2 linked regions of the Arabidopsis thaliana genome follow. The protein of the gene in region 2 interacts with the protein of the main gene of each other region in a biochemical or structural test. Each region holds a gene or a part of one and is shown on either strand. Other genes may lie near its edges.

Region 1 (5,154 bases), on a different chromosome or scaffold from region 2:
AGTAAAACGCCGTGGGGATCACTAAATGCGCAACTTCAGGGAACAACGGCAGTTGATTCAGTAAACGCCACAGCGTCGCTGCGTAATACTCTGCCGCTGGCTCGTACTTGTCCCGGACGCTTCTTGCAATGCTCTTGGTAGTGTCCACAACGCCGGTGCGCTGCACCTCCGTGGCCACCGTGAGCGCTTGGCTAGAAGCTTGCTTCACCAATGACGGAACATATGTCTCAACATCGAAGAACACATCGTCCACCTGAAAACCAAGCAAATCATTTGCCTCTCACTCATGAAACCGAAGCGATATTCAAGTTAAGAATTACATTCTGATTGTTACCTTACGATCGACGAAAAGGAGAAGCTTGAAAGGAACGTCGTGGAATTTTTCGTATAATGGAGCAAGCACGGTTCGAACGCAATCTTCAATGTTCTCGACGCCGAGTTTGAGTGGACCAGCGTTGTCTTTAGCCAACTCGTAGAGGGTCGAGAAACAGGCGGCGAAGTAAACCGCCGCGACTTGAATGAATTCCAAGTGCTTGAGCTTCATCTCATCGTCGTCTTCCACCACTAACGAAGGCGAAGACGAAGAAGATGGTGGAACTGGAGTAATCTCCTGTGGCTGTGATTGCTCTTCTTCGACTACTATTTCATCTTCAGCCATTGTCAAAGACTTGGTGCCGTTGCAGACAAACGAACCGCTCTCTCTCTCTTTAAAAAGACTTATATCACACCGGACGGCTCAGATTTGAAACTGGTGAGCCACGTGGCATGTTGCTGCCATGCTCCATTTTAGTTTTAATTTAAGCGAAAGGGATTGGATTGTGAGAGACGAGTGACCTCTAGGACAGCTGTCCTATTGACAGATGTCTTACTCTTAATGGACCGTTTTCAACACGTGTCGAGGTATGGGTCGAGACTGTTGCACGAAAGCCACGGCCACTCCGTCGGCACGAGTCTCGAGGGTAAATCAAAAAAGCACAAGGACCTCTCGTTCGCTATCATTCATCCACTTTTTGTATATTCCCTCCAAACCTTACATGATATCATCACGTGTTAAAATGGATTGGGCCCTAATCCTCGAGTTCCTATATTAATTTTAGGTTTACCACTGACTGAGAAGCCCACAAAACAGTGTCAACGGCCCAACCCAAAACTGATCAAAGTATAGTTGGCTTTACCGTTTGAATTTGTTCCGTTTCGGCGACATAAAAGTAAAACGATCGCCTTTTAAGAATCTCACAGTTTGATTTCAGACCAACGCTTAAAACTTCTACAATATCACATTATTTCTCAAGTATATCATGTTCATGTCTATTACTCCACAATGACCAGACCATTGGATCGCAAAGACATCTTTTATGGTATATATCACAAAAAACAAAAACAACAAGAAACACTCATATGACTCAGACTCTACAAACATCATCGTATAGCGTTTACAGATCTCACGCGACTGCAAGCTTTACATTAACAGCGGCTACAAAGGCAGCCCAAGCCAAACACGGCTTTACCAGATTACCAGCGACCGGACTTATCTCATTAAAGGCCTTGTAGCATCCGAATAACGCAGCCGATTGACCCAACCACACCGCAAGCCCCGCTACTCCCGACCCGACGCGGAACGTAACCGGATCCCAAACCAAACAGAGCAAAAACTGAGCTAAGTAAAGATACAGAGCATTGGGCTTCTTGTGGAAGCCACCGTCAACCCATACAAGCCACGCAGCCAAACCCATCAGACCACTAGAAGCGAGACACGTTGTGTGTAGGAGCCACAGAGGTGGGATCCACGACGAGGACTTAGCTCGATTCCCGTATCCGTCGCTTGTGCCGAGGAAATACGTAGCGAAGAGCGTCACGAGCACAGGAGCCGCAACCGCTACCGTCAGAGACTTGAGACCACGTTTCGCCATCGCCCTCTTTTGATCGCGTTTTCCTTTGTTGTCGTCAGCGCTTTTCCTCTCTGTCTCGGCCATAGCCGTCGTTGCAGCGTCTCTGTCGTCTCCGCCGCGGTATCTGATGTCCTGAGAATCCATTACAAACGTCCAAAACAGAATCGAAGGAACAAGATTACTGAGATTTGAGATGTTGGATAGATGGAGAAGAAGCAGCTTGGTCAAAAGAGAGTATAATCAGGAGATGATATTAATAGACAAGAAGAAGAAGCAAAAAGGCCAAGGCTCTTGTACACGTGGCGAGTGATATGTACACGTCGAATGCTAATTAATTGTTTTTTGTTTTTAGATAACTTTGTGAAAAAGTGTGGACACGTGCTTACTCTATATGCTCATGTCTGATGCATACACACAGTTTTGGGACGATTGCGATGCTTATTTATTTATCGCTTAATACTTTTGCATTATTAAAAAATAAAACAACAATTGGGCTCTACACCGACTAAGACAAGAAGCCCAATAGGCTCATTTAATTTGGGCTAATTAGAAGAGTAGTAATATGGAAGTAGTTGTCTGTTACGCGGCGTTGGCTAGACGCTGATGCGATTTGCTCTGTTTTCATGGCGGGCGCCTCATCACCGGCGAGTTTGAGAGCTTCTCGTAGCCGTCGGCTGGGGAAGGAGACGAATCGATCCGATCTATTCAAAAAACCTGCAGTTCCATTCGCATTCGCGCTAATTCTTGCTGATGCAATCCTAGTCGCACTTATTATCGCCTATGTTCCATGTGAGAGCTATTTACCTCCTTTTTTTTTTTGCTTGCGTATCCCTCGAAATGTGCATTTGCATAGGTTTTAAACCAAATTTCGTCATTTGCCTTTAACAGACACGAAGATCGATTGGGATGCTTACATGTCACAGGTAAGTGTCAATGGTCAACTGTGGTTTCTTCAAAGTAAACTAGTAGTCTTTAAGTGAAATTTATCTAATTGGGGCAGGTTAGTGGGTTTCTCGGGGGAGAGAGAGACTATGGGAACTTGAAAGGCGATACAGGGCCATTGGTTTATCCAGCAGGTTTCCTCTATGTTTACTCTGCAGTGCAGAACTTAACTGGAGGGGAAGTCTACCCTGCTCAGGTGCTTGCAATTCCCTCTCTTTGAATCTCCTATCTTTGGATTAGCTGCGGAATTTGATCCATCCATCGCTTCATTTGTCTCAATTCTACTCTCTTACATTTTGCAGATTCTTTTTGGTGTTCTCTACATTGTCAATCTGGGGATCGTCTTGATCATCTACGTGAAGACTGATGTGGTATAAATGAAGACTTATTTCTTATCTCTTTTCATCAAGTATTTGTAGACGTTGTCAAGCGTTGTCCATTTACGATGTTAATGAACAATATTTTGGTTTTGATTTGTCTGTTTATGATGGGAGTGATTTTAGTGAATTCAGTGATGATATCTCTTCTTGTATCCTTACGTATTTCAGGTGCCATGGTGGGCATTAAGTCTACTATGTTTATCCAAGAGGATACATTCAATCTTTGTTCTCCGTCTCTTTAATGATTGTTTTGCCATGACTCTCCTACATGCATCAATGGCTCTCTTTCTCTATCGTAAATGGCATCTAGGGATGCTTGTTTTCAGGTTAGATTGCTGCTTTTGCTTCTCGATTCTTTAGATTGACTAGTCTGCTTACCCTTCTTTTTATACAGTGGAGCTGTTTCTGTAAAGATGAATGTACTTTTGTATGCTCCAACTTTGTTACTTCTGCTACTTAAGGTATATATGTTCGTGGAAGAGAATTAGTTTATGGATTTGCTTTATTATTCTTCTAGCATTGTTTTTCTTCATATGTGAAGTTTTACTATTCACAGGCCATGAATATCATTGGAGTGGTGTCTGCTTTGGCTGGTGCAGCTCTTGTTCAGGTTTCACTATATCTCTTATAAGCCTTCTTATTCACCAATTTGTATGCGTAGCATTGTTTCTCCAAGACAATTTGGAAACTTGTTAACTGTAGTTTCTTCAATGTAAATAGGTGAGTTGCATTATCCAGCGAATTATAGTTTTGATTATGCAAGAAGTACCATTCAGCTGGTCAATGAATGGTTATACAGATACTCGTGGGACTGCCGTTTCTGATAACATATCCGGTTTCATACATAGCAAACGCCTTTGATCTTGGACGTGTTTTCATTCATTTCTGGTATTGTTCGCTTCTCTCCCGCCAAATCTAAAAAACATGTTGATGGGATCTAAAAATGTCTTTTGACCTCTAACTCTAGTTTGAGCTCTCAACAGGTCTGTTAACTTCAAATTTGTTCCAGAACGAGTTTTTGTGTCCAAAGAATTTGCAGTATGCTTGCTCATTGCTCACCTTTTTCTCCTTGTGGCGTTCGCAAATTATAAGTGGTGCAAGTACGTACAATCATAAGGCAGCTGCAATTTGAAAGCAGTTGCAGTTTGTGTGTTTAGCATTAGTTGTAATTAATATGTTGATTTTATAGGCATGAAGGCGGGATTATAGGCTTCATGCGTTCTAGGCATTTCTTCTTGACACTTCCGTCTTCACTCTCGTTCAGTGATGTATCAGCCTCACGGATTATTACGAAAGAACGTAAGCTCTTACTGTTATTTTAGCTTATGTTTCCCTATGTCCATACTTACAGGCATTCCACTTGATTCGCAGATGTCGTCACGGCCATGTTTGTTGGGAATTTCATCGGCATTGTATTTGCTCGCTCTCTGCACTACCAGTTCTACTCATGGTAACCAAATAACCTGGCTAAATCTTACGTTTCTCGAACATTCTTAGCCTCAACCCCAATACTCATATGATCATAACAGGTACTTCTATTCGCTACCTTATCTACTATGGAGAACACCGTTTCCCACTTGGCTGCGGTAAGTTATTTCTGCATTTCTTACTGTAACAACAGTTAAAATATCAAAACCTAACTCGTCTTCTTGTTTTTCTTTTGGCTGTAAAAGCTTGATCATGTTCCTCGGCATTGAGCTCTGTTGGAATGTTTATCCATCAACACCGTCCTCCTCGGGTTTGCTATTGTGTCTACACTTGATCATTCTGGTGGGTCTCTGGTTAGCTCCTTCAGTCGATCCTTATCAGCTCAAAGAACACCCTAAATCCCAAATACACAAAAAAGCATAACTGAACCTTTTGATGCTCTTTTTTTTCTTCTTGTTTCCAAGACTTAGAGATAAGCTAAAGAAAGTAACGGTTAACTTAACTATATGTGTTTT
Region 2 (5,639 bases):
TATTCGAGTGGCTGAATTTAATAAACGCAGAATATTTTACCTGATCTCCATCTTCAGTCGCTGTGTCCATACTTTCAGTCGTTAACATCGGGGAAGCTGCCTCAACAGCTGGTCTCACAGGGTGTTGTTGTACGTTGGTAGAAGAGTCTCCAACGTTTTGACCTTCTGTTTCCGTTGAACGCATCCAGCGGAGGACCGCCTCGTCATCCATAAGCCTTTTCCACACAACGGACTCGTAGTTAGGTGATCGTTCAGCGTTGACGTATAAAGGTGATTTGCCTTTATCTGCAAATCCGTAACTTGAAGTCTGACTTGTTCCACCATCTTCGGAACCATCATCCACCGTTTGCTTGGAGACAAACAAACTCAAGTCCTCCAACTCAAAACGCATAGCTAGAAACACTCCCATTGTCTCCTCTGAAGTTATGCTTACTGGCTTCGTGCGCCCACCAAAGGTAGTTTCCATGTCCATCCAATCAGGCCATTGGTAAGTCAGGTGTAGTGGGCCTTCAACGTATTCCTGTCCGTACGCTTCTCTAACAAGCTGGCGCACAGATGCTAACTTCTCCCCTTCCCCAATGCTCAACCTCCTCACTGCATTATTGTGATTGGATATGAATAACCATGTTCCATCAGCTCCGATTGCCCAGGAGCCACTCACCGTCCTGACATAACGATCGTCGGTTATTTCGGTTATAACCACCATCGGTACCTACACATTAATAGAGTTGCATTAAATAGAGATAAATCAACCATGAGTTTTTTAAAAATAGCAACAAACCCGACCAAAAGAACATTCATTAATTGCATACCAAAACAGAAATGATCGAGTTCTTCGATGTTGTTGGATACGTAGTGTGTGCTTTATAGGAAGAAGTAGAGGTGTGAGAGATGATATCTTGCCATCTTTCTTCTTTTATAGAAAAGGTTAACTTTGTTTTTTAGGGCTACAGTAACTAAAGATATTTCTAGTAACAGTTGCTTAACCATTTGCAGCCACGCGAATTTCAAAACGGTATGATTTCCCTCCCAACACCCGAGGGAGGCGTGAAGCGACAATTCACGAATGTCAAATCGAAGTGGTAAGCGTTCTTTATTTGTATTGCATGTTATCGTCAAAATAACCAGGTGATTTACTTAGTCTTTGCTTTACACATTTTCGTGAACCGAGGTAGTATATCTTCTGCCCCCACTTGCCTATTCGTAATCTTGACGTCATTGACCAACGTGTCAACTTAACGACCTGCCATTCTGTAGCGTATAGCATAAGCACACAAACCTTGCTTTACACAATTAACCAATGTCAAATCGAAGTGTTAAGTGTTCTTTATTTGTATTGCATGTTATCGTCAAAATAACCAGGTGATTTACTTAGTCTTTGCTTTACACATTTTCGTGAACCGAGGTAGTATATCTTCTGCCCCCACTTGCCTATTCGTAATCTTGACGTCATTGACCAACGTGTCAACTTAACGACCTGCCATTCTGTAGCGTATAGCATAAGCACACAAACCTTGCTTTACACAATTAACCAATGTCAAATCGAAGTGTTAAGTGTTCTTTATTTGTATTGCATGTTATCGTCAAAATAACCATGTGATTTACTTAGTCTTTGCTTTACACATTTCCGTGAACCGAGGTATAGATTCAGTATATCTTCTGCCCCCACTTGCCTATTCGTAATCTTGACGTCATTGACCAACGTGTCAACTTATCGACCTGCCATTTTGTAGCGTATAGCATAAGCACACAAACCTTGTGTTAAAAAGTGCTACACTAAAGAAAAGGGTTTACACATACAACAATATATTACGTTGGAAGCTGTATATCCTCTGACGCCGCATTAAATGCGTCTGATACGTATCTCCATCTCTCTTTGCTCGCGCTTTTTATTGTCACATCCGGGAATTTTTCTAATAATTTTCTCTTATGTTTTCTTTCCAAGTTGCTCCGATATGATTATTGTGATTTTAAAACATCACATGTTGTTTCCGTAGTACTTGTGCTGTTTACCAAATCGTAGTACTTCTGCTGGTCATAGATTCAAGGTAAAAGCCCATTCACCTTGTTGAATAATCAATCCAGTACAATACTCACCCGAAAAAGTTACCAGCCCAATATCGTGGTATATACTCCATTTCAATACTAATTTTTTTGTTTTTTAATGATTATTTTTTTAAAAAAAAAATGAAATAAATCCTTTCATAGTACATGCTGCTGCAGTTGTAAATTGCATGTATTTTATGAAACGTTCAGTACAAACTTAGAAAGTTGTAGTAATGAAAGCTCTAAATTGAGATCTACACTCATAAATAGTTCATGCTTTATTTAGTAGTAACTGCATAAGTAATGCATGCTTTTTTTTTTTGATACGTTGTAATCATTGCCCTACAATCTCTAGCTCCCCTACATCTACAAGTCTGCTGTCGGGAATATGGTTTTGCCGCCCATCCGTAGAGGCTATATCGGATATTTCGCATGGTAAAAAAACGTTATATACCCAACTTTTCTGGGAGAAGGTCATTCTCTTAATAAGGATGTCAAATTTGGTCATTCAGTAAATTAACCCTTAAAAAAATGCAAAATAATTTGTTTATGTGACAAAGAAATGGATTTTATCTATAACTATCAAGAAGAAGAAAACACTCGGCTATATATATACGTACAACACATAAGAAAAACAAACCAATCACTTCACTCTCTCTAATCAAAAAGCTTTTAACCTCAGCCGTTAAATCTTTCTCCGATCATGCCGACCAGAAACATCGCCATTGGTGGAGTCCAAGAAGAGGTCTATCACCCCAACGCACTTAGGGCGGCGCTCGCTGAGTTTATCTCGACTTTGATCTTCGTCTTCGCCGGCTCAGGCTCCGGAATTGCTTTCAACAAGATCACTGACAATGGAGCAACCACTCCTTCCGGCCTCGTCGCCGCTGCCTTAGCTCATGCTTTCGGTCTCTTTGTCGCTGTCTCTGTTGGCGCTAACATTTCCGGTGGCCACGTTAACCCTGCCGTTACCTTCGGTGTCTTACTCGGTGGTAACATCACTCTCCTCCGTGGTATTCTCTACTGGATTGCTCAGCTTCTTGGCTCCGTCGCCGCTTGTTTCCTCCTTAGCTTTGCCACCGGTGGCGAGGTAACGTCACTTACACCTAATTAGATTTTAGTAGTATTTTCGATTCTCTGTTTCTCTATTTTGTGGTTTGGTTTAAAACTAAATTCAATTGAATATTCCAACTAAAATAACCCGTTTGACCTAACTTCTCCGGCAAGTAAATAAACCTTTTTGCAAATGATTGTTTTTTCAGCCAATTCCAGCGTTCGGTCTCTCTGCCGGAGTCGGATCATTAAACGCTCTCGTCTTCGAGATCGTGATGACCTTCGGGCTCGTCTACACCGTCTACGCCACAGCCGTTGACCCCAAGAACGGTAGTCTCGGAACAATCGCACCAATCGCCATAGGTTTCATCGTTGGAGCTAACATCCTCGCCGGTGGAGCTTTCAGCGGAGCTTCCATGAACCCAGCCGTTGCTTTCGGACCAGCCGTCGTAAGCTGGACGTGGACCAACCACTGGGTTTACTGGGCTGGTCCTCTTATTGGTGGTGGACTCGCCGGAATTATCTACGACTTTGTCTTCATCGATGAAAATGCCCACGAGCAATTGCCTACCACCGATTACTGAAGACGTCAAATTCAACGTTGTTAATCTGATGAATTTTTCGTGATTTGCTTTTTTAATTTGCATCGTAATGGGTTTCTGGCCGTTGGATCATTTTTAGATGAATCTTTGTCTATTGATTGATCATTTATGTGTCTTTGGGTTTGTTGTTGGAGTTGTAATATCTCTGGAAGGCTTTTGTGCAATTGTATTGTACGGTTTAATAACTATAATTGAGAAAACCAGGGAATGTGAATTATGAAAATGAATTTTTTTGTTATTGTTTATTTTACTTAAAGAGCCCTAACTAATTTAGATCATAATTTACGAGACATGGAAATTTTAATGAATAATAAACATTGTGATTGATATTTTTGGTTTTCATTTCCGTTTTTTATATTTTATATCAACACACTACAGTAGTACATATTTACACATGATTTATGTCCAGGCTAAAATTGTATATTAAGCGTTGAAAAATCATCGAGTGTTACACTTAGGAGGGGTTCGACTTCCATGTGTAAAAATAATACTAGCAATTCGCAAATAACTTTACAAACACAAGTCATGACTCATGAGCTAAGGTTCAAATTACTTTGGGTTGCAATGTATGCGTTTCATTTCTATATCGTTCCAATCACAGCATTATTATTTCCTTCTTTGTGAGTCTTCTTCCAACATTTCGGCGGGAATCTGTAGGGAGATTTTCGTCATTCGGATTTCATTTTGTTTGGTTTCAAAACGTGAATAGCAATAGATGGATGGGAATAGATTCGCTAAAATCTTTGTGGGGTTAATGGATAATAAAGTTCGTGAAACGTCTGGACAGTATACGAACCATCTACCTCTATAACCAACCCCACAGGCCATAACAGTATAACATGATTCATGATCAAGAGTTCTGCTAAAAACAAAAAATCAATAGTTCTGCTAAAAACAAAAAAAATTAAGAAACTCTTCCAAACACATATGAGCCTAATTTATTAGGGACTATGCCAGAACCAAAGTATCAGTTATCGTAAATCGTAGATCCAAAATTTTTAATCGTTCGGGTAAACATAAAAAATACCAAAAAACCAACCCAAAACAATACAAGCGATTGAATGTTTAAAACTAAAAAGTTGGATTAAAAGCGACGCATGCATGTGGAATTGTGGATGGTGGTCTAATACATTGATCATTTTTTTGTTCTTCTAATAAACCAGCTTGATTTTTGATAGTTTGGACGTAAAGTTTGCTAAGATAGATTAGAACTAACAAAACTAGCTAACTCTAGGCTTACCAAACCACGAACAAAGAATCAAAGACAATAATGCAGTTCATATATACGATCTATGCAATTACCATGTGCAACGTTGGACCATTCGTACACCGCACCATTACTTAATTGTTCCTACCTTCCTTTTTGTTCTTTCTATATAAATCTTTTCCATATCCTGCCACACACTAATCCATATGTCTTCCCATTGACGGCATTAAAAGAAAAAGAGAGAGATTGATGTCGATAAATTCTTAGATAAACACAAAAACCAACACATGCAAACCTAACATCTATAAGAAACCTTGAAATCAGTTATCTCTAACCTTATACTTAAATTCTTCTAATTTTGGTTTTCTTGATATTAGTGGACAAAACATTTGCATTATAAGGTAAAAAAATGATAGTAAAATAAAACATTTGGTTCGGTAAAAAACTATGGAGTACACTTACACTTATTGACTGAGAGCTATTCTGAAATATAAGAAGTTCATCAGTGGCACATGGCTGATATTTATTTGGGTGCATGCATACCAGCCAATTATGTTTTGTCTTATTACTTCATATTTGTTTCAGACAATGAAATTACAAGTCTCAAATACTGAACTCTGGTGATATGTTGGATTGGACCTACCCCTGTTTACACATATAGTCCACACTAAAATTCAAACTAATTTTGAGATCTTTATCTACTATACAGTCTTGAATTCAAACGACTTTGT

What was found. Proteins that work in one complex are often made in the same cells at the same time.
Region 1: the proteins of TIP2 (region 2) and TSPO form a complex in vitro, tested with the Arabidopsis thaliana proteins (one study listed by BioGRID).

Annotation. Positions count from the first base shown.
Region 1 is NC_003071.7:19,565,580-19,570,733, reverse strand, and holds TSPO (TSPO(outer membrane tryptophan-rich sensory protein)-like protein), read right to left. Parts: upstream 2,271-5,154; 5' UTR 2,034-2,270; coding exon 1,443-2,033; 3' UTR 1,227-1,442; downstream 1-1,226. Other genes in the region: AT2G47780 (Rubber elongation factor protein (REF)), read right to left, coding at 1-253, 335-658; ALG3 (asparagine-linked glycosylation 3), read left to right, coding at 2,513-2,678, 2,778-2,812, 2,890-3,027, 3,134-3,202, 3,380-3,537, 3,606-3,672, 3,768-3,821, 4,011-4,099 and 5 more. UniProt on the Arabidopsis thaliana protein: Stress-induced membrane protein that can bind heme and may play a role in the transport of tetrapyrrole intermediates during salt stress and contribute to the detoxification of highly reactive porphyrins in the cytoplasm.
Region 2 is NC_003074.8:9,720,814-9,726,452, reverse strand, and holds TIP2 (tonoplast intrinsic protein 2), read left to right. Parts: upstream 1-2,548; 5' UTR 2,549-2,749; coding exon 2,750-3,136; intron 3,137-3,308; coding exon 3,309-3,683; 3' UTR 3,684-4,010; downstream 4,011-5,639.